Caenorhabditis elegans: one gene and its partners. The protein of the gene in region 2 interacts with the protein of the main gene of each other region in a pairwise test. Each region holds a gene or a part of one and is shown on either strand. Other genes may lie near its edges. The genes, in order: fkh-2, php-3, klf-2 and efl-2.

Evidence for each region.
Region 1: the proteins of php-3 (region 2) and fkh-2 interact in a two-hybrid assay, tested with the Caenorhabditis elegans proteins (one large-scale study listed by BioGRID).
Region 3: the proteins of php-3 (region 2) and klf-2 interact in a two-hybrid assay, tested with the Caenorhabditis elegans proteins (one large-scale study listed by BioGRID).
Region 4: the proteins of php-3 (region 2) and efl-2 interact in a two-hybrid assay, tested with the Caenorhabditis elegans proteins (one large-scale study listed by BioGRID).

What each region holds. Positions count from the first base shown.
Region 1 is NC_003284.9:3,739,695-3,743,887, forward strand, and holds fkh-2 (Forkhead box protein fkh-2), read right to left. Parts: upstream 2,630-4,193; 5' UTR 2,561-2,629; coding exon 2,452-2,560; intron 2,048-2,451; exon of another isoform or gene 1,847-2,047; intron 1,697-1,846; exon of another isoform or gene 1,695-1,696; coding exon 1,588-1,694; intron 1,530-1,587; coding exon 1,256-1,529; intron 1,200-1,255; coding exon 877-1,199; 3' UTR 513-876; downstream 1-512. UniProt on the Caenorhabditis elegans protein: Transcription factor. Plays a role in embryogenesis and later development, perhaps acting redundantly with forkhead protein pes-1.
Region 2 is NC_003281.10:12,073,705-12,079,332, forward strand, and holds php-3 (Homeobox protein php-3), read right to left. Parts: upstream 3,853-5,628; 5' UTR 3,799-3,852; coding exon 3,455-3,798; intron 2,230-3,454; coding exon 2,018-2,229; intron 1,966-2,017; coding exon 1,778-1,965; intron 986-1,777; coding exon 902-985; 3' UTR 514-901; downstream 1-513. Other genes in the region: Homeobox protein nob-1, read right to left, coding at 4,399-4,497, 5,552-5,628. UniProt on the Caenorhabditis elegans protein: Probable transcription factor, involved in posterior embryonic patterning, morphogenetic movements of the posterior hypodermis, and cell fate specification. May regulate expression of transcription factor dmd-3.
Region 3 is NC_003283.11:20,683,792-20,689,372, reverse strand, and holds klf-2 (Kruppel-like factor 2), read right to left. Parts: upstream 3,691-5,581; 5' UTR 3,675-3,690; intron 3,644-3,674; 5' UTR 3,557-3,643; intron 2,466-3,556; coding exon 2,277-2,465; intron 2,229-2,276; coding exon 1,808-2,228; intron 1,763-1,807; coding exon 1,703-1,762; intron 833-1,702; coding exon 603-832; 3' UTR 543-602; downstream 1-542. Other genes in the region: F53F8.3 (RING-type domain-containing protein), read left to right, coding at 1-338, 392-537. UniProt on the Caenorhabditis elegans protein: Probable transcription factor which regulates lipid metabolism.
Region 4 is NC_003280.10:13,404,276-13,412,152, reverse strand, and holds efl-2 (Transcription factor efl-2), read right to left. Parts: upstream 6,014-7,877; 5' UTR 5,994-6,013; coding exon 5,701-5,993; intron 4,141-5,700; coding exon 3,991-4,140; intron 3,131-3,990; coding exon 3,037-3,130; intron 2,844-3,036; coding exon 2,561-2,843; coding exon of another isoform or gene 2,526-2,560; exon of another isoform or gene 2,469-2,525; intron 1,130-2,468; coding exon 873-1,129; 3' UTR 258-872; downstream 1-257. Other genes in the region: pinn-4 (Peptidyl-prolyl cis-trans isomerase), read right to left, coding at 7,600-7,710.

The DNA of each region.
Region 1 (4,193 bases), on a different chromosome or scaffold from region 2:
AACACTGAGTATTTACCACTTTTTTGAAACAAAACAAAATATTTTAAATAAAACTTAGTTTCACTGTGATATTCGGGCATTTTCGCAATTTGCTCCATTTATGACTGAACAGAGCTTTTAAACTATTATATTTTCCTTCTGTGTACTTGTGAAGATTTCTATCGAGATATCAAAAATGTCAAAAAAACATTTTTTTTCATCAAATCTGATTACCGGGAAAGTGTTATTTTCTGCATCACTTTAAAATCACTGTCTGTGAATTTGGATTGTACAAAACTAAATTTGACTTCTCGCACCAAATTAATTTCAAAATCTGAGCTTGAAATTCTCTGTTTGGTCTCAATTTTCAGATCTAATCTTAATAGTTTAAACGGTCGGCGTGGCGAAATAAAAAAAAACGCATCTGCTCGGGGGCGGCATCTCGAATACCATGACCACCGATTTGCACAGCTCCATTGCGTAACCAACACCCGACAAAAATAATCGACGTTTGACGGCAAAAAAGAGTCACATGACTACAAGTGATTTATTATGAAAACATAAAGGTGTTGACAATAATGACGAAAAAATAACAATTGGTGTTACAAGCACGGAATGGGAACAAGTAATAAAGCAAGGAACACAGATCTTTATAAGGTGTTGTGGAGGGAGAAGGATGACAAGCGGAAGAGGGGCATGTATTTATAGTTATAAAAGTTACCGCTAATCAATTTCTTGAAAAAAATATTGCAAGTTGCTACCCGTGAATAGAAATATTGTAAACTTGGTGTAGGTTAATTAGGTCGAAATAAGTTATAAATCAAAAATAGGTACACCGAACTACTAATAGGAGACACATGCTGAGTTAAGAAAACTTGAAGGCCATAAAAAGAAGGATTACTGTAGTTTTGTGAATAAGCTTTGTTGTTGGTTAATGTATAATTGTAAAAGTTCAGGTTGTGCGAAAACTTGAGGCATCGCTGGAATCGGCATCATTTGACGAGGGAGAAAGCCATTTGGAGCAGTCAGATACGGGTGACGAGGGAGGGCTGGCATTCCTGGACTGAAGTATGGGAAGAGGTTTGCAGCGGCTGCTCCGTACTGCTTGTAGGCGTCCATTCTAGCACGCGAGAGAGAGGAAGGGCGACGGCGCAGTTTTCCAGTTGCTCCACCAATGAATACCTCGTCCTCAGCAGTTGCATCGAGCATCCAATAGTTCCCTGAAAATGTATTGGATTAAAATATGAGTTAATTGGAAAACGATTTAGAGTATTACCTTTGCCTGGATCATCAAAGTTTCTTGGAACTTTGACAAAGCACTTGTTGAGGGAGAGGTTGTGGCGGATGGAGTTTTGCCATCCCTGCTTGTTGTCCCGGTAGAATGGGTAATTGGTGACGATGTATTCGTAAATTCCAGCCAATGTGAGACGTTTTTCTGGACTGTCTTTGATGGCCATCATGATCAATGCATTGTAGGAGAATGGTGGCTTGTCGTTCGGAGAGCTTGGAGTTTTCTCTTCTGAGTTGCTGGATGATGGTGACTTGGAATCCTGAATAAGTGGAATACTTCGAAATTGAACGTAGAGAGGGAATTTAATGATTAGTTACCTTGCTCAATGTGCTCTCTGATCGTTCGTCATCAATGCTCTCGTCATGAAGATAATCGGTGGACATGGTGTCAGTAGTGTCGATTGATGTGCTTGGGTCACTGATATCTGAAGATAAAACGATTACGGTAGGCATAAGAAGACCGGAGCATGTGGTGCAACAAAGAGATTATGAGTTTTGACGAGCTGAGGGTTTACAAATCCGCAACAACATGACAGCTGGTCGCCGCGTCTCTACTGACATTTTAGGTGAAGTGTAAACGCTTGGGGAGGTTCGGTTGGGGATTCAAGCGGAGGATTTGATACGAAAAACGAGAACGATGGCAAACATCAATCAACGACGACAACAAGTGCGGTTGGCTGAGGCAAACAGCGGGCGCTACCGTAAGCTTAAAGCACATATGCGCATGTTTAACAGATAATAATAAGAATAATAATAATAACAAGAGCCGCCGCGCTTTTGAATATGGTAATGGAATTGGTGTGAAGAAATGTACAGTACCCTAAAACGTATGCTTTTGATAGAATAAAGTTAGGAATTTAAGAAGAAGTAACTGGAATTTAGGATAGCACATATATTTAGAGCTCTATAATTATCCGAGATTTTGGAAAGCTATATTGTGAAGGCTTAATGTTTCTAAAGTTTGACTTAAAGAATAATCGTATTAATATGAATTTAAGTGTTAAAGTGGAGTTTTTCGATATGCAAGGATATTCTTTTGAAAACCAAAAACAAAATAGTTGTTCCTTGGCTCTAATCTCTAAATGCATACTTTTTCCTAGAAGGTTTGCAAACACGTACACACAAATGTAATAACAGCTTATACTAAGATCTATCTTAAAATTAAATAGAAAACGAACCAACCCGTGGATTCTTGCTTGATGCATGGTTGAGTTGAAATGTGAAGTTGTTCAATCTTGACCGCCTCTTCAACAAGGTCCGGGCACAGATCCAGAATCGAGAATCGAGCCATCAGAATTCGAGTCGTTTTCCTGAGATTTGGAAAGTTGGTATACTGATGCGATTTGGTATGGAAACAATGACACGACAAAGTGATGGGTCCAGTGTGGGTGGGACTAACCACTGCGATCACCCGGCTGGGCGTGGCCTGCACGGTAGAGAGTGTGCGGGGGGACCCAAGATGAAAGAGTGAACCGAATGGTCTCCCAACTACGTAGAAAAGGGTGCAAAAAGTATAGTAAAGCGGTGAAGACTAACGGGGATATCAAAAATGTTTGAGTATGAAGAAAAAACCAAAGAGGCGTTTCCAAGGATGATTATGGTGGAAGTGTTCTATTCTGCATGACTTTTAAATCACTGTCTGTCTGAACAGAAAATTCGAACGTCTAAAAAATGTGCATGATTTTGAAAGTGCAATTCATTAATATGATATTTGATAACTTAAGAACTTAATCTTACATAACTTGATAATTGAGGAATATGAAATTAGACCAAATTAACGAAGGAAGACAAAAAAGTTTTATAATCAAGTATTATGACCCGTCTTCTTCCTATATTTTTTTACAATGACTTCTGATGAATTAATTAGAATTGCTCTTATTTTCTTTATATGTAGACTATTACCAACTTAAGTTGAGTTTCAGTTCGTGCATGAATAAGTAAACTTAAAGAATTAAAGAAAAAGTAGCAACAATGGAGAAATCTACCACTCCTATGGTGTCTAAATGAAACAATATGAATTTTATTTTAAATTTGGAAAGTTTTATATTTTGTTTCCAAAAATCGTTACTCCGTTGTTGCCAAATTTACAACTATGGTTTGTAGTGAAATCTGAGGAAATATTGTTTATTAAAAAATAACAAAAACATTTGCGAGTGGAACTAGCTATTAAAAAAATGTAATTCAAATTCGAAGTTCAAAATAAAAGTAGTTGTAAGAAAAGTAACCTGTCACAACTATTTGAAATAACTAAAATTGAAAAAAGTTTATCTTCTGCGGTAAGCGGATGAGCAACTTTGCAACAAATCGTTTGATTGACACCATTCAGCTGCTCGTCATATTATTGAACTAAGTGACTCCTCAATACTCATTCTTCTAGTGTCTTGTAATCCGGAAGACATATTGAGACTATAATAGCAGGTGGTTTTTAAGAGAGGGATCAATATTGTGAATGCATGGTTTGAAAAGGGTAATTACAATACGATTGTTTTCATGCAGAGGTGAGACACGTATTAATAGAATGGTTGAACATTAGCTACGTAAAATTAAATACAATTTCTACTTTTGCTACATTTTTTATTGAAAATGTTTCGGAGATTCAATTGAGTAATTTACAGCTTTGGCTAACAAAAAATTGTTGAGAAAGTAAATGATTGAAATCTCATAAAATATTTCCAACTGATCAAGGACCAATCCGCTGAAAATATCTCAGACAGCTGGATAATCAGGCGAAAATATTTTTTTGACGAACGCGCTCACACATGAAAAATGAGATCAGGAGTCAATAATTTACATGAAACATTACCAAAAATGAAAAAAAAACAGAGTTTTAACATTTTAAAAGACTTGCAAGTCAAAGCTTTTTTTAAAGCGCCAGTGGTGATCTAAATGCACTTACAACGATTCAGAATGACTGAATATCATGA
Region 2 (5,628 bases):
GTTCAAAATTTGTGAAAATTCAGGCCCATTTTGCTCAAAATTTGTGAAAATTTAGGCCCATTTTGCTCAAAATTTGTGAATATTTAGGCCCATTTTGTTCAAAATTTGTGAAAATTTAGGTCCACCACGGGGTTCTGGCCTTCCTCATTGAATTTTTCGCGCTCCATTGACAATCGCCTGTCGGACAACGCGTGGAAAAGTGTCGTGTACTCCACACGGACAATTACATTTAGTTTTACAATCGAGCCGCGACGCGACACGCAACGCACCGTAAATCTACCCCAGATGTGGCCGAGCCATAATGGCCTAGTTCGGCAAACTCTTCCATTTCAATTTATGAGGGAAGCCAGAAATCCGTGTAAATGGCGAAACACAATCTAACTTTTGAAAGATTCAAAAAAACTGTTTAAAAAATTTGTTTTTTCAGAAAATCCGATACAAAAAAAAGTTAAAATTAAAAAAAAGATTATTGAGGGAATATATTGAGGAGAGTAAAGTAGTTTGTACCGGTAAATTGAATTTATTAAATGCGGATCAATGGTGGTGATATAATGAAGTAGAACATTTGAGCTAAGGTTGAGAGAGAGAGATGGAAGAAAAAAAAAGAAGTTCAATATTCACCTAAAAGGAAACAGAAAACTTTTCAGGAAACATTTCAAGTTGGTATGGTTTTTGGCAAATTTAGACCCAGGTGGCACGTGGTGTCAGAGTGTCACATGTCGGTTTGATCTACTTAGATCTACAAAAAATGCGGCAGAATTCTCAACTGATTTCGTATGGTTAAGAACGTGCTGACGTCACATTTTTTGGGCGAAAAATTCCCGCATTTTTTGTAGATCAAACCGTAATGGGACAGAAAGGCACCGCGTGAGGTGGGGCAATTACAATAAAGTATTTCGAGTTAATCCAATCCAGGTGGCATCAGCATTCCAGTTGGATCTCCAGATGTTCGTTGCTTTTGCTTCTTATCTTTCATTCGTCGGTTCTGAAAATAATATAAATATTACTGGAAGTCAAAATTCTGAAAATGCGTATTGCACAACATATTTGACGCGCAAAATATCTCATAGCGAAAACTACTCTTTAAATGACTACTGTAGTGTCGACTTACGAGCTCAATTTTCGAAACTAACTTTTTTTTTGAATTGTGACAGCTATCACGTGGAGTCAGAGTGTCCCATTTCGGATTGATCTACGTTGATCTACAAAAAATGCGGCAGAGTTCTCAACTGATTTTACATGGTTAAGAACGTTCAAACGTCACATTTTTAGGGCAAAAAATTCCCGCATTTTTTGTAGATCAAACCGTCATGGGTCAGCCTGGCACCACGTGAGCTATATTAATTTGTTTCTTTTGTTTAATAATAATATTCTATCGATAAATTAATAATCCATTTTAAAACTCGAGCCCGTATTACTGTAGTTTTCGCTACGAGATATTTTGCGCAAAACGCATCCTCGGAATCTAGTGTTTTCTTAGTAATCAATAGATGCAGAATTTCTGATACACGCAGTTATACGATTATTGAATCAAATTGTCCATTTGGAATGAAACATCTTAATAATAAGTAGGGCATCCGTGTAGCCTGCCTGCCTGCCTGGCCTCAAGGCGACCTTCGCCTGCCTATCGCCTCAATCTGCGCTTTTTCATCTATTAATTTTATTTTCATCACATTTGAAATTTGAAAATTCACGTCAAAATGCAAAAAAGAGGCGGTCAGGTTTCAGGCAGGCCCCGAAGCCGCGCCTGCCTACCATGGAAGCCAAAAATACTCACTTGGAACCAAATTTTGACTTGTCGCTCAGTCAAATGCAAGTACTTTGCAAGTTCCCACCGCTTCTGCTTACTGACGTAGGTATTGTACAAAAACTCTTTTTCCAACTCCAATGTCTGCGCTTTCGTATACGGCTTCCTCTTTTTACGCATTGCGTGTGAAGAGGACGTCCATTCTAGTTGACCACCGTCTGAAATAAAAATTTTCAAAAAAACTTCAAAAGCTTAAAAACTTTAACAAACCATTCAAATTTCCATCTAAACTTGGCATTGAGTAGTTTGCAAACGGATATTGTTGTGGATAAGAGTATGGCCAAGAAGATGCAGCAAGACTATTTGAATAGAAATCATTGTACATTGATTGATTAACCATCATATTAAACTCTGTTGGAAATCGACCAGCATTGAATGGGTACATTCCGGCTGCAGCCGCTGCTGGCATTGACATACCACTGCTGAAATTGATTTTATTGGTTTTTGTGTTGAGAACACATACTTGGTGTCACAGTGTCTCATTTCGGCTTGATCTACGTAGATCTACAAAAAATGCGGCAGAGTTCTCAACTGATTTTGCATGGTTAAGAACGTGCTGACGTCACATTTTTTGGGCAAAAAAAATCACGCATTTTTTCTAGATCAAACCGTAATGGGACAGTCTGGCACTACGTGTACTTATTGAATTAAGAATATGAAATTTATAATGTCGGGGTATTTTTTGTATATCTTAAAATTAAAAAAAAACAACTTTCGGCAAATTTTGGCTACTTTTCAAAACAAATCAATAATTTTCGGTAACTATCGGCAATTTTTGGCAATTTTTGGCATTTTTTGAAAACTATCCGCAGCTATCGACCACTTTCGACAAATGTTGACACTGTTTAACAAATTTTCAGAAAGTTCAATAACTTCTGAAAACTATCGGCAACTATCGACAACTGGCAGCCTAAAAGTTGCCGAGCTTCCAATTTTTCGAAAAAATTTCGGCAATTTTTGTGCAATCGGCAAATTGGCAAATTGCCGGTTTGCCAATTTGCCGAGTGGCCGGCTTTTTCGATTTTCAAATTAAATGTAGGAGCATTCATAGAATGCGTAAAATTTTGCCCATTAAAATTGAACTTTTGAAATTTCCAAAAAAAATGTGCAAAACCACAATTTGCCGGTTTGCCGATAGGCCGAAAGTTACAATTTCGCCAATTTGCCGGAATTTTTTGATTCTGACAATTTGCCAATTTGCCGAGTGGCCGGCTTTTTTGATTTTCAAAATAAATGTAGGAGCATTCATAGAATGCGTAAAATTTTGCCCATTAAAATTGAAACTCTGAATTTTCGAAAAAAAAATTGCAAAACCACAATTTGCCGGTTTGCCTATTTGCCTGAAGTTTTCAATTCCGGCAATTTGCCGATTTGCCGGAAATTTTTGATTCCGGCAATTTGCCGATTTGCCGTAAAAAATCGTTTGCCGCCCACCCCTGATTATCAAGGCTATTTATAATTCGAAATTTTTCGGGGCCGGCCGCTGAAGTTGCCGAAAGAAAATTAGGCGTTTAGGAACTTCATGCTTATGGAAATGGGCAAAAATTTGGCTATCTATTGCCGAAGTTGTGGTAATTGTCAAATTTGTATTCTAGTTAAAATTAAAAAGTTTCCACTTGACCGCGATATTTAAAATACTTAACAAACCTCGTTGGGAGTGGTGCAACCTGAGGACTGGAAGCAGTGTCGGATCCTCGTTCCGAATGATTGTCCGCTTGTGTCCTTGATAAATTGTTCGATGCAGAACTGCTGGAACCACTAGAAACACCAGATGATCCAGATACAGATTGCTGCAGTTGTGCAGCTCTTGTCGACCAAAAGTTGTGTTGCATTGCTGCTGCTGCCGCCGAAGACGTTGTTGCAGGAGAATCCGAACGTTTAATGAACGGAGACGTCGGTGATTCATCATGAGTTTCATGAGAATCAGAGCTCTTCACAAATGGGGGTGGCATATTAGAATTGTTCATCATCTGTTGCATCACCGAAATCATTAGGATGATGACGGGAGCTCGCTGATGTTCGGGCGTTGTCTACCGTGAGCAAGCCTGCAAGAAAAGCACTATTTTTGGGGTTTCAGCGGGGAGAGATACTAAAGAAAAGTGGTAAGGTCGGGGGTAAAACGAGGTTGTTAGCGGAAAACAAAAACAGGTTTGGCAAAGACCCAAAAGTGGTGCTTTTCTCTGTGGCATTGCTGGGGGGTAGAGAACGAACATCGGCTCGACGGAGGAGCAAGTAGTACAGGAAGTACAGGATACACTGACAGACATACACGTACAGAGAAAAACGAAACAACTTTATGGGTGCCTTGCCAATTGAAAAAAAAGAGTTATTAAATCATGAAAAAGGAAAAAGAAAGTTGAACTTGAATCGAAAAAAGAGTCAAAGAGGACGACAAACAATAAGGGAAAAAATATAGTGAACGGTGTCTAGGTACCGGTTGGAGAGAACGAAGAATGGGCTAAAAACACAACCCTGTGCAAACGAGATTTGGGACAAAAATTATGAAATTGAGAGAGAAGAGAGCAAATTGAATAATGAATAAGAATCAGAAAAAAATCATTAGTTAGAACACTTTGTGTAAATAGAGAAAATCAGTTGATCAATCGCTCGATGCACGGAGTGACTGGAGCACCGTGGGGGAATGGCCCGGAATGTCGTTGACGCAGTTTCTTGTCCTTCATTCGTCGATTCTGAAACAGTGAAGTTAAGAGAAAGCAAAACAATTCATGCAATGTTAAAATGGTTGGAGTTTAGACAAAACAACATATTTACGGTTTTTGACAATGTTCAGGCGCGGTTTCAGGTTTCTAAAGTTTTCAATTATTTCTCATGGTAGGCAGATGCGGTTTCAAGGCCTGATGCCTGCCTGAAACCTGCTCACCTTTTGCCTCCTTTTTGCACATTTCCATTTTTACGTGAATTCACAAATGTCCAACTTATTTATTTGCACTCTGATAATTAATTACGAATGTTACTTTAGTTCAAAAAAGTGTGGCTACAAAAAGTGGTGCCAGGCTGTCCCATTACGGTGTGATCTACAAAAATGCGGGAATTTCTTCCTAAAAAAAGGTGACGTCAGCACGTTCTTAACCATGTGAAATCAGTTGTGAACTCTGCGCCTCTTATCCCGCATTTTTTGTAGATCAACGTAGATCAATCCGAAATGGGATACTCTGACACCACGTGCTGAAAAGTAATTTTTAACTTTTAAAGTATGGTTATTGATGGATTAGCGCCAGTGAGGAAATTGTTAAAAACTACTCCAGTGGTGCCAAAATGATAGCAAAACTTTTCCAAAAAAATTTTGAAAATTTTGACAAGTTTGACAAGTTTGAAAAGTGACAATTACTCAGTTTTTGAAAGTCATAATTTTGGAAGTCTGCCAAAAAAATTCCTATAAAACATTCTAGAGGTCGGAACAGGTTTAAATATTTGGCATTTTGCCAAAACTTTTCTGGAAATTTTAAAAAATTTTTCAATTTTTTCGAGTTCGTTTTGGCTGGCGCTAAATATTGTATTTTTTCAATTATTAGTGCCCAAACCTTGTAAATGTTCAAAATATTGAAATTTAGTATTTTTCAGATGTTCGTTTTTTGAAAATCCAGAGAAGCTCAAAATTAATTTTTAAAAATGAGGAAATTTGGGAATTTACCAAAATTTCTGGAATTTTTTTCATTAGGACATTAGATAAAAATTCACATTTATGATCTCTAGACTTTCCGCTGAATACTGCCTATAACATACCTGGAACCAGACCTTGACCTGCTTCTCATCAAGCATCAATTGTGCAGAGAGTTCTGATCTCCGCTTATTCGTGAGAT
Region 3 (5,581 bases), on a different chromosome or scaffold from region 2:
TGAAGAACTGTCAAGGGTTACCCTGAAAGTCAATACAGAATTCACTATTCAAGAATCACACATGGCACGATTACTGCGAGAAAACATGAGTTTGAAGGAGCAACTTAACGACTTTTCCTTCAAATTGCGATTCAGAGACGATATGTCTCGCGTCGAAGAACAAGTGAAAAAAGAGCAGGGAGTCACAGACGGGTATCGAAGGAGAGTGAACCAATTGACAGAATTTCATGTGAAGAGTCAGGAAGAGCAACGAGGAGAACCGTTCCCATGGAGAACCTGCGAAATTTGTGCTTGCAAGTTTGAGGGAGAAACTATGGATCAGACTCCGCGAGTTTTGGGTTAGTTTTAAATTATTTTTTTCTAAATTCAGTAGAAAACTGAAAATTTTCAGGCTGTGGTCACACGATGTGCATGGGATGTGTTCAAAAAATTGTCGGGCAAGGGTACATCAAATGCCCTTTCTGCCGGATTGTCACAAAAATTGGAACTACGCCACTCAATAATTTGCCAAAGAACTACATTGTTCTTAATATGTGAAAGGATTCAATCTACTGTTTATTCATAATTAAACGTATCATCTCACTCATAATGAAACGAAATCTTCAAATAAAAGTCATGAAATCCTTGAAATCATCCATTCCATCGTCTTGTTCATCCGTTTCATGCCGCTTCATATGTAACTGCAAATGATCACTTCTCGAAAATTTCCTGGAGCATTCTTTGCATGCAAACGGTTTGGCTCCAGTGTGCTTACGGTAATGGCGGGTTAGCTCGTCGGATCGTGCAAATCGCCAAGAGCATCCAGGCCATTCACATGGATACGGCTTTTCACCTAAATGAGAAGATTATTATCGAATAGGTAATACTTTGGCAAGCTGCTGACTAGGGAATGTTCAAAACTCCAAGTGGCCATTTGGTGTGAAACTAACATCATTTGAAAGCTGAGATTTTCAGCTTGAAAAATCTTAATTTCTGCTGCGGATATCAAAAGTTGTTGAAAATTTACGACCGGATCTGTATAAAACTGACTTTGGCTATCCGTTTCTCAAACCTCAAAATTAAAAAAAAGTGCTCAACTAACATAAAAGTTGAAAACTTTACATCTTACCGTTTTAGAAATAAAAAGCAAGCTAATTTCCCAAGAAGCAGTTGCAAATTTATAAATTTTTAGATTTTCGCAGCAAAAAAACATTTTAAAAAGCTTAGCTGACGATCTCAGTGTCAGATCAAATCGCGACTCTGAGTTTCGTCAATCACCAGATAAACCAAAATATAATAGATATTTCAGGCGTTCTTCCTGCAAGCAACTTTCGCATTTTCCACACTTTCCGAAGCATTAGGAATTGGGTAAGTTATTATTTTCCAATTTTCCCGCAACCCTCCTAATTCTTATATCCATAGGCCCACGCACTTAATTGACAGTTTATTGATACTTTACAACTCCTTATTCGATACTTCTAAAAGGGGGATGCCGCGAAGTACCGGACAAGGCCAAATATTGATATGGACTAACATAACATAGCAACAGTAGTTGATTCCTGTGCATTCGTTACAAAAAGTATCTAGTGATTGATGAGAAGCGTGTTTGTCAACGGAAGTATCCCGTTACACAGAACAATGTGCCGACGAGTGCGCGCTGTTCACGACATTGAAGAGGAGGATATGATTAATTATGTATAATGAGGTTCTGTAAGCTACTCACCACTATGAACACGCTCATGAGCTGTTAGATGGGAACTTTTTGTGTAGACCTTGCCGCAACCTGAAAATGAAATTCAAGCTTAAGCTAAACACGCTTGCAACTTACCTTGATAAAAACACTTATGAACTCTTAATCGATCCAAAGTAGCCTTATCCCTCCGTTTACTCGGCACCTTTTTTGGTTTTTCAGTGCTCTGCGGATGATATACTCTTCCACGATCTTTTAAAGGAATCCTGGGATCTTCCTCGTCTTTACCCGACAAATCGCTTGAAAATGAGTAACTGGATACAGACGCTGCAGGCGATGGAACGAATAACTTGGCTTCAAACGGATATGGTGTCGAGCTTCCCGAGTTTTGATGTTCCATTGGAGTCATCGAAGGTTCCATGTGATTGAGGTGAGTTTCGGAATTATTCTGTTGTGGAAAGTCATGGGAAAAATTGAAAGAACTGTGCGGGCCTTGTGGAATATTTTCTTCGAAAGTTTGTTGGACATGGTTATGATGATTGTAGTGCTGCTCGATGACCTCAAAAAATAGAAAATTGAATTTAAAAACTTCAATTAAATACAAAACCTGATTATTAACAGGTCCCGTATGAAAATGATAGTTGTGAACATTGATGACTGGAGCCGCAGCTGCTCCATTATAATGATGATGAGATTGTTGGTGATAATGCTGCTGATGATGTTGGTGATGGGCATTTTGGTATTGAGACTGATGATAGTAACCATTTGAACTAGACGGGACTATGCTAGAGTACATCTGGAAGGAGTTGTAGATGAATAACGATAAATTGAAAATCACCAAAAAAGAGTGAGACTCTGAAACGAATTTTCAAAAATTACATTGTAACAGAAGGTCAAATAAAAATTAGCATAGGCAAATACTAATTCATTTTGTGGTTAAAAAAAGATGTAATGCCTGAACCTAATTGTATGCATAGTTCTAAATTTGTAGTGAAAATCTTAACCATAAGCCAAAGTAAGGCAACTTCTACTAGTAGATAGTACAAATATTCCAACACTACAACAACACCATGTAATACCGTTGTGCATACACACACGCACAAATGTGACGTCTTCATTCTCGTTCAATACATTTCAAGTCATAAAAGTCTTGCGTTCTTCTTTGCCTACTGCTTACTTTTCGATATTTGTTGTGAATTTTCAAAGCGAAAGTTGTAGTTCTTGTGAATATGTTTTTACGTCATATCACAAGTGTATATACAAATAGGGGGAATTAGTAGCAAAATTTTTGGATCTTTTTGATATTTAGAGAATTCACACTCAAACCGAAATATTCAAGAGATAAGAAAGTTAAAGGTGGAGTAGCGCCTGTGAGAATTTTGTCTCACTTATATTAAACCAAAGCGACAAAATATCATGATGCAACACTCCTAAAAATTTTAGGTTTCTCATAATTCCAGGTCAAAGTTTTGGCACATTGCCAAAATATTGAAAAATATGAGCCTTTGAGGAAATTCAATGCAGTGTCGCATGTTCCGACCCCTATAATTTTTTAAAACAAATAATTAAAACAAAATGAAAATATAAAAAATGCAAGAAATTTTTTTCCGACTTCTAAAATTATGAGTGGCAAAGAATGAGCACTTGTCAGTTTTTGACAGTAAATAGAAAAATTTCAAAATTTTTTTGAAAGTTTTATTTTGATATTCGGTCATTTTTGACACCATAGGAGTTGTTTTTAGCATTTTCCCCAATGGCGCTGCTCCATTTTTAAGAACTTTCAAGTTCGAAATTCTGGGAACTAACTACTAACTATAAGGCTCTAACTCTCAATGCACTGAACACGTAGGAACTAACTCACTAAAAACAAAATACCTATGTACTCACCACAAAGAACAAAACAATGTTAATGCTAGATTACAATACGTGCCTTCATTAGTAGAGCATCTATCGTGAAACTAAAGAAAAATGACTAATGTTTCCACAAAAATAAACATCCTAAGCGAATATACACACCTCTTCTGGTCTACAAAAAAGTGAGCTCCCCAGGCTCCAAAAAAGGGGTGTGGTGACACCAGACCGGTCACTCCTATGATAACAAACAGAAAACTTGAGCAAACTTTTCTTTCCCCCCAAGAATAGAAAATACAGAAAACTTGAGCATGTGTAGATGGTGGTCATGATATGTTTGATCTAAAGATTACGACACTTTTGGGCATTTCGAAAAAAAATAAACATGTCAAGAAGACGATGGTCAAGCTAGAAGAAAATTATCCAAGAAGGCGCACATATGCCCTGCAAGTGCCATTTTATGATAGCATGTCAAAACTGATAGGCATGGGCAAACAGTAACCAAAAAACGGGGAGGTTTGTTGTTTCTCTGAGAAAGGGGTGGCAGAAAGGTGTGTGCGCGGAAAATGTGTGGAGGGGAGATGGGTGTCATTAATAGAAGAAGGAAGGGAGTTTTTTGGGAAAAGGACATGTGATAAATAATTTTGTTTTCAAAGTTCAGAAATTTTATAGAAAGAACACAAGGCTTTGTAGTGCTCCAAAGTTATGCCGGTTTTGATCAATAGTACAGTACATCACGGGTGGGTGGCAAACGATTTTTCCGGCAAATGGGCAAATTGCCGGCAAATCAGAAATTCTATTTCTATGAAAATTCTATGAAAATTTCAAAAAAAAAAACGGAAAAAAATTCAAAAAGGCACAGTTTTAAGTGTTTCCGTCTTATAAAAAAAATCCCTCTAAACATTTTTGGCAAATCTGATATCCATCAAATTGGCAAACCGGCAACTTGCCGAAAATGAAAATTCCGACAAATAGGCAAACCGGCATTTTGCCTATTTGCCGGATTTGCGGACAGTCAAGTCACAACCAAGATTTGGTTTTAAATCTGAAAATGACGTGCGGGACTAAAAACAGAAGGGAAATGTAGACGCTAGATTGAAAAAAAAAACTATACATATCCACAAACAGTATCACTTACAGTACTCTAAAATGATACCCCAATGCTGTGTTTATCCAAACGTCCCCCCCCTCCCACCTCCAATTTTAGTACCCTCTTCCCTACCGCCTCGCCTTGCTACAGTCGGGAAGTTATGATTTTACGGGTGCGAACAATCCAGTAAGTGGGTGCGGAAGAGGAGGAAGCAGTGATTACTGTTAAAAGTGCCGACTAGGTATGTAAACGTACTTGAGAATATTGTTTGGACGGGCGGTCTCCTTTTTTTCAACTGCGGCGGGACCATATCAGTTTTATGATTGATTAATGTTTGATATATTGAGATAATGGAAAGGTGTGTTCGACTGGTAAAACTCGCAGTATGGTTTTAACTGAGGCAACTCCAGCAACCTAATTCTTTGTAAAAATTGTAACCGTCAGGATTTTGAGTTTTGACAAAAAAAACTAATAAAAATATTAGAAGATCTCGAAGAGAATTCAGATGTGAGTAAACAAGTATGTACATATGTTCTGAAATATATTTATATATACACATATATATTTACATAGACATACAAATTTAGTGGCAATGTATCTTTTTGTCTGACACTCTACATTTTTGCGTGTTTAAAAGTGCAAGATGAGTCGTAAACAATTTTCATTCGATTTTTGGAATCTGGTTTTTAAAATTGAACAGCAAGTAATAGATCGTAAAAGCAACACAAACCAATAAGGACGTTGCAAATTGACCGGAGATTTCTGAAATTTGTTTTTTTTAAATTTAAATTGTTGATGTACTTACTTGCAATAATATGTCACCAGGACCATAATCAAATTTCCAGTAGTCCCAATTACAAAAACTGTACAATAAATAACGAAAAGGATAATTAGAAGAGGTTCCATTTTTTGAGACAACGGAAGTGAGAAAATACAATAACTACAATCTATTATATAGGTATTTTTTATAT
Region 4 (7,877 bases), on a different chromosome or scaffold from region 2:
GTACTCCTTTCGGACGATCCGAATTTTAAGAAATTTTGGTTTGAAAATTAGCTTATCAAAAATTTGAAAATTTCGTGTACTCCTCTCGGACAAACAAAATTTGCAAAATTCGAACTTTTCTGTTTGTGTTTGTGGGTTTTTGCAATATATATTTTTTTTAATCTAAATTCGATTTTCCTGAAAATGTAATTTAAGAAAGATAGAAAATTGGCTGTGGTAGTAAACCATAAAATTGGAGAAAAAAATCGAAAAAAAAAATCAATAAAATTCGTACATATGTATATGTTTAAATCAAACTTTCGAGAAAAAAAAGGGGAATTTATGAGCCGAAAAAGGTATAGAGAATTAAAAGAAATTAGAAAATTTTCAAAAATAATATTTTAAAACAAAAAACCTGAGATATTCTGGGCGGGGGAGATGTAATAATAATGGAAGAGATAATTCAACCGAGATTCAAAAAAAAGGTACACTGTGACGTCATCAGGGGGGGGGGGGGGGGTTGAAATCGTGATGCAAGCGCGCTCCACGGCCAAAAATTTGAATTCCTCGTGTTTTTATTGAGGTCTCATTTCAGCTTGATCTACGTTGATCTACAAAAAATGCGGGAGAAGAGATACAAGAGAGTTCTCAACTGATTTCGCATGGTTAAGAACGTGCTGACGTCATACTTTTTTACTTTTTGTGCAAAAAATTCCCGCATTTTTTGTAGATCAAACCGTTATGGGACAGCCTGGCTGGCACCACATGGCACAAAAAAAAACGAAAAATGATTGCCGTGGAGCGCGTTTGCAGCGCGATTCCACCAAAATTCTCAATTTTTAACAAAAAGAAAACCTTTTTAAAAATAACACAATTTAAAATAAATTCAAAAATTAATCAGAGAAAAAGTCCATAACACTGACGGGCTCCTCGTCTTCCTGGCCGCTGGCTCCGGCTCCGGCTCCAGTGGCTCTCGACGGTGTCGTAATATTAATATAACCACTTGTCAGATCATCGGAGAAACTCGGCAGAATACACGGATCGATAAGTGACTTGAATGGACTGAAAAAGAGCCCACGGCCTGGAGTTTCTGGTAGATATGGAGCATTTGATTGTGAAGCTGATGTGGATGGAGGGAGCACAAAGGTTTCTGGAAAGAATTTGGAAATTTGGAATTTTTTGCCGAAAAAAAAAAGACCATTTTGTGGGCGGGGCATAGCTAACCACGCCCACAAAATGGTAAGCCCACGTGGTGTCAGGTTGTCCCGTTTCGTTGTGATCTACAAAAAACGCGGGAGAAAAGGTGCAGAGCTCTCAACTGATTTCGCATGCTGACGTCACATTTTTTGGGGAAAAAATTCCCGCATTTTTTGTAGATCAAACCGTGATGGGACAACGTGACACCACGTGTAGGCACCTTTTTTTTTTTTGGGAAATTCCGGCCGATGATTTCTGGAAAGAATTTGGAAAGTTGGAATTTTTTGCCGAAAAAATGATCATTTTGTGGGCGGGGAATAACTAGCCACGCCCACAAAATGGTAAGCCCGCCCCATTTTTTGTGATCTTTTTTTTTTTTTGAAAATTCCGGGCGATTTGGAAATTTTTTCCGAAAAAAAGTTGCCATTTTGTGGGCGGGGCATTAAATGGGAGGAGCTTCACAGACCACGCCTACAAATTGGTAAGTCCGCCCACTTTTCCGTGCCTTTGCGGCAAACTCTGTCTCAAGAAGTTTTTTTTTCGGAAAATGCAAAATTTTCAATCTCAAACCACGCCCACAAAATGGACACTTTCTCGGCGAAATGTTAACGCTCCGCCTCTTTTGTGGGCGTAGCCTCCTACGCTCCGCCCATTTTTCTGTGCCTTCTCGGAAATCATATTTTTTTCAAATTAAAAAAAAAAAAAACTTCGGGCGACTGTTTCTGGAAAGAATTTGAAAAATTTTGCCGAAAAAAAGTTCCCATTTTGTGGGCGGGGCATAAGAGCAAGCCACGCCCACAAAATGGCAAGCCCGCCCCCTATTTTTTGTGACCACTTATTTTCGGAAAATTCCGGGGGGGCAAAAGTTTCTGGAAAAATTTGGAAATTGGAAATGTTTGCCGGAAAATTGCCATCGGACGATCGAAATTTGATTTTTTTAAAATTTTTTCGAAATAAATTGTACTCCTCTCGGACTATCAAATTTTTTTTTCAATTTTTTTCCAAAATAATTGTACTCCTCTCGGAAAATCGAAATTTGATTTTTTTAAATTTTTTTCGAAATAAATTGTACTCCTCTCGGACGATCGAAATTAGATTTTTTTAAATTTTTTTCGAAAAAAATTGTACTCCTCTCGGAAAATCGAAATTTGATTTTTTAAAATGTTTTCGAAATAAATTGTACTCCTCTCGGACAATCGAAATTTTATTATTTTTTTTTCAATTTTTTTTCGAAATAAATTGTACTCCTCTCCGATAATCGAAATTTGATTTTTTTTAAAATTTTTTCGAAATAAATTGTACTCCTCTCGGACAATTGGAATTTTTAAGTCATTTTCCTGCGATTTTTTTCAGATTTTTTCCGAATTCTGTGAATTCCTCGCACCCAAATCCTCGGTATCAATTTCCTCCGGTTCTTCTAATTTGATGTGTTTTGGTGATGATGAGATTGTTGTGGGATCTGTTAGCATTTCAGCTAGGGTTACACGTAATGCTTCAGATGTCTCAAATCTTTTTTGTGATGATAATTTTTTCACATCGTCCTCGTCCTCCTCATCGCCGTACTCTGGCGGATCATTTGTGAAGAGCAACGCGTGAGATTTGACTCCATTCTTATTCCGAACTATCATATCGTGTGAGCCACTGGTGCTCGGGTCTGTTACTTGGATCTGGAAAAATGGCCCGATTTTAAGCCAATATATGGGCGGCGGAGCCTATTATTGATTTTTCTTGTGGATTTTTGGGTTGCAAATTTTCAAAAAGTTGTGGTTTTTTTTTGAGATTTTAGCTAAAAATTAGCTGAAAATTTATGTTCTTAAATTTTTTTCGAAATAAAATTTAAAAATCGCCAAAAAATCGAACCTCAAAGGAGCTGCTCGTATCCAGTTCTGATTTTACGATAATCGATTTTGTGTTCGGCTCGGCGGTTTTTCGAATGTCTTCTTTGCTCACATAACTGAAAATAGTTCTTTTTTTTATTTAAAAAAATGATAAACAATTTTTCTCATTTTATTTGTTAAATATTTCATTTTTTTCCATTTTTTAAAATTATTTTTTTCAGTTTTTCTTTCATTTTTTCCTTATTTTGTCCAAAAATTGGAATTCTCTTTTTTCTTACTTTCTCAGTTGAAACATTTTTTTTTCACTTTTTTTCAATATTAATGTAAAAAATGAAAAAGAATGAAAAAAAGAAAGAAAACACTTTTTTTTTCATTCTTTTTTTCCTTTTTTCTCTTTTTTTTACAATTTTTTTCCTTTTTTCACTTTTTTCATTATTAATGTAAAAAATGAAAAAAGAATGAAAAAAGAAAAAAAACTTTTTTTCCTCTTTTTTTCATTCTTTGTTTCCTTTTTTCTCTTTCTTTTTTCCTCTTTTTTCATTCATTTTTTTCTTTTTTTCACTTTTTTTCATTATTAATGTAAAAAATGAAAAAAGAATGAAAAAAGAAAAAAAAAACTTTTTTTCCTCTTTTTTTCATTCTTTTTTTTCTCTTTTTTCATTTTTCCTTTTTGCATTTTTTTTTTTCATTATTAGTGTAAAAAATGAAAAAAGAATGAAAAAAGGAAAACAACTTTTTTTCCTCTTTTTTTCATTCTTTTTTTCCTTTTTTTTTTCTCTTTTTTCATTTTTCCTTTTTTCACTTTTTTTCATTATTAATGTAAAAAATGAAAAAAACTTTAAAAAAATTTTTTTTTCCTTTTTTTCCTCTTTTTTCATTCTTTTTTTTTCTCTTTTTGTTCATCTTTTTTTCTTCATTTTTCTCTTTTTTTCATTTCTTTTTCAATTTTACTCAAAAATTTTAGAAAAAAACAAACTTATAGGGCCGCTCAATTGGATCCTCAAAATGGAGCTCAATAATCGCTTGAGCATCTCGTATCATCAGTTCGAGCAGCTTTTCCTGTTGGCGGAGCATCTCGACTCGGGCCTCGAGCGCGTTTTGCTCTTCGGAATTGTTGTTGTCTCCACTGGAAAAAATAGGGAAAATCGAAAAAAAAAACATTTTTTTTCATTCGAGAAAGAATGAAAAAAAAATTAAGTAAAAAATGCCTGAAATGAAAAATGAAAAAAAGAGAAAAAAACGATGAAACATTTTTTTTCCTTTTTTTTTCTTTTTTTTTTTCATTTTTTTTTTCCTTTTTTTCTTTTTTTCATTTTTCTTCTTTTTTTTCTTTTTTTCATTTTTCTTCTTTTTTTTCTTTTTTTCATTTTTTTTTCCTTTTTTTCTTTTTTTCTAGTATTTTTTTTTTCATTTTTAGACAAAATTGGAATTTCATGAAAAAAAAACCCGTTTTCAACCAAAAAATTGCAGATTTGTCTATATTTTCAAGTGGAAGTTGAAAATTAAAGCAATTTTCCAACTTTTACCGGGAAACACTTTTTATTAAAACTTCAATCATTTTTACGGAAAATATAGACAATTATGCAATTTTTCCGTTTTTCTCGAAATTTTGACTGGATAACAGTTTTTTTTTTGAGAAATTCCTCTGGAAAATCAGAAAATCAGGAAAAAATTGGCTGAAATTGTGATTTTTAGCCAAAATTTCGGGAAAAATCGGAAAAATATCAGTTTTTGAGCCAAAAATTGCAGATTTGCGCATATTTTCTTTCAATATCATCGAATTTTAGTGGAAAATTGGAACTTTGCTTTAATTTTCAATTTCCACCTAAAAAATTCGGAAAACCCAGTCAAAATTAGCTGAAACAGTGATTTTCAGTCAAAATGTCGAGAAAAATCAGAAAAGTAGCAGTTTTTCGGTCAAAAATTGAAGACTTCTGAATTTTTGCTCAAAATGATTGAAATTTCATTAAAAACTGCCTGAAAAATCAAATTTCCAGAGAAAATTTGGAAAATTGCTTTCATTTTCAACTTCCACTTGAAAATATAGACAAATCTGCAATTTTTTGGTTGAAAACGGTTTTTTTTCATGAAATTCCAATTTTGTCTAAATGTACGCGATCGTACTCTTTGCCCCGTGACTCACTCGCAATCCTCACATTATTAATGTTGTTTTGTTATCTTTTGCACCATTCAATTATGATTGCATTCCTATCCCCCGTCATTTTTACTTATCTTATTGATTCTCCGCCTACTTCATATTGTATATAAGCCATCACCTATCTGATGGCTCTATCCTTTCATTTAATATCAATAAATGATACAAACCCCAGCCAGCTCTGAACTCGATTACTAAAAATGAAAAAAAAATACTAGAAAAAAAGAAGAAAAAATGAAAAAAAGAAAAAAAGGAAAAAAAAAATGAAAAAAAATGAAAAAAAGAAAAAAAAAGGAAAAAAAATGAAAAAAAAAATGAAAAAAAGGAAAAAAGGAAAAAAAAGAAAAAAAAAGAAAAAAAAATGAAAAAAAAAGGAAAAAAAAAATGTTTCATCGTTTTTTTCTCTTTTTTTTTTCATTTTTCATTTCAGGCATTTTTTACTTAAAATTTTTTTTCATTCTTCCTCGAATGAAAAAAATTTAAGAAATTGAACAAATTTCACTCGGAAAAACCGGGAAAAATCGCACTAACATCCATCGAATATTATTCTTCTCCACCTTCTCCACATAACCGAGCCCCTCGAGCACATTGATGACGTCATAGACGCGTCGTTTCGAGATATTCAACTCTTTGGCCACTTCATTCAAATTGAGCACCTCATTCCTTTGCCGTAGGCTCATGAATCGTTGTGTAATGAGCCCAAGTGATTGCTGACTTCGAAATACTTCTTTGGGACTTCCAGCTGCTGCTGCTGCTCCGTCCTCGTGTTGTTGTTGCTCCGAGCCACCGGGTATTGAGCCCAAGTCTATTGACGAGGGATCCATACTTTGCATAACAGAGATCTGCAGAAAATTGATTTAAAAAAGGAAAAAAAAAGAGAAAAAAAGAGAGCATATTTTCTTTTTCTTTTTTTTTTCATTTTTTTTTCATTTTTTTTTTTCATTTTTTTCTCTTTTTTTTTCTTTTTTTTTTCTTTTTTTCTTCTTTTTTTTTTCTTTTTTTTTCATTTTTTTTTCATTTTTTTTTTCATTTTTTTTTCTTTTTTTTCTCATTTTTTTTTCATTTTTTTCATTTCTTTCCTTTTTCTTCTATTTTTTCTTTCTTTTTTCATTTTTTAAACCATTTTTTGCCCACAAAACGGTTGAGCTCGAGAAAATCACAAATTTTCAATTGAAATCCATGTTCAGAGCGGTTTTCATGCGAAAAACTATAACTTTCTGAGTACAGTGTGCAATAAGCCACGCCCATTTTATGGGCGTGGTCTGGTTGGCTCCGCCTATTTCTTGGCATTTCTAAAATTTTGAAAATGCTCAATTTAACTCATATTTTCAGTGACTTTTTCAAGAAAATAATGTTTTTCTCCGATTCTTAGTTTTGGCCACGCCCCTTTTCTGTGGGCGTGGTATCGTTAGCTCCGCCCATTTTATGATATTTCGAAAATGTTAAAATTTTCTATTTAAATCATATTTCCGGTAGAGTTTTTCACAAAAAAGTTTTTTTTTTTAATTTAATTTTTTGAACTTTTTTTTTCTTAATTTTAACCACGCCCCCTTTGTGTGGGCGCGTTCTGGTTGGCTCCGCCCTTTCTTGGCTTTTCGAAAATTTTGAAAATTCTCAATGTAAATCATATTTTTGGTGGTGTTTTTTTTTTTAAAGAAAAATGATTTTTTTAATTTCGAAAAATTTTCAATTTTTGACCTGACCACGCCCCTTTTCTGTGGGCTTTGTCTTTTAGCTCCGCCCATTTTTTGGCATTTCGAAAAAGTTAAAACTGTTCCATTATTTCCGGTGGTGTTTTTTTACAAAACAAAAAGTTTTTTAAATTCAATTTTTAAAATGTTCTCAATTTCGACCACGCCCCTTTCAGTGGGCGTGTCTTGACTAGCTCCGCCCATTTCTTGGCATTAGTTAAAAATGTATAATGAAAACTAATTTTTTGTGTTGTTGTTAACAGTTAAAAAAAACACTTAAAAAGTATTCAAATGCATTTTTGACCACGCCCCCTTTGTGTGGGCGTGGTCTGGTTGGCTCCGCCCCTTTCTTGGCATTTCGAAAATATTTTTCTTTCAAATTTTAACTGAATTTTCATGTAATTTTAAGAGAAAAAACAATGAATATTTCCCAAAAAATATTAAAATTAATTTTTTTAGCTTTAAACATTTAGGAAAAAAATTTCCGTTAAAAATGACCATTTTATGGGCGTGGCTTAGGTTTTGCTCCGCCCTTTTTCTAGAACTTTTTTAATTTAAAATAAAAGTAAAATTAAACTGGAAAAAGATATAAAAAGCGTTGAAAATTAACGCATAAATGGGCAAAAAATGAGGAAAAATTGGGAAAAAATGAGAAAATATTTATCAAAAAAAAAAAAAAAAAATTTTGCAACAAAAAAGACAAAAAAAAGCGAAATCAACATTTTTTTTTTTGGAATGATTATTTCTTTCCCTCGACCATAATCACATGATAACCGAACTTTGTCTTGACTGGGGGGTCCGTGTAGATTGGCTTGTCGCATGAGCTGTTCGACAGGGCAAATGCGGCGTCCTGAAAATTTTTTTTTGGAAATTTTTGTGGAAAAAATTCTAAAAATTGCCTAGAAATCTGCAATTTTAAGCATTTTTCCGGTGAAAAAATGTGAAAAATTGGTGTATTTTTATTAAAAATATTTTTTTTTTCAATTTTTTGGAAGTTTTGAGATAATTTTCGGATTA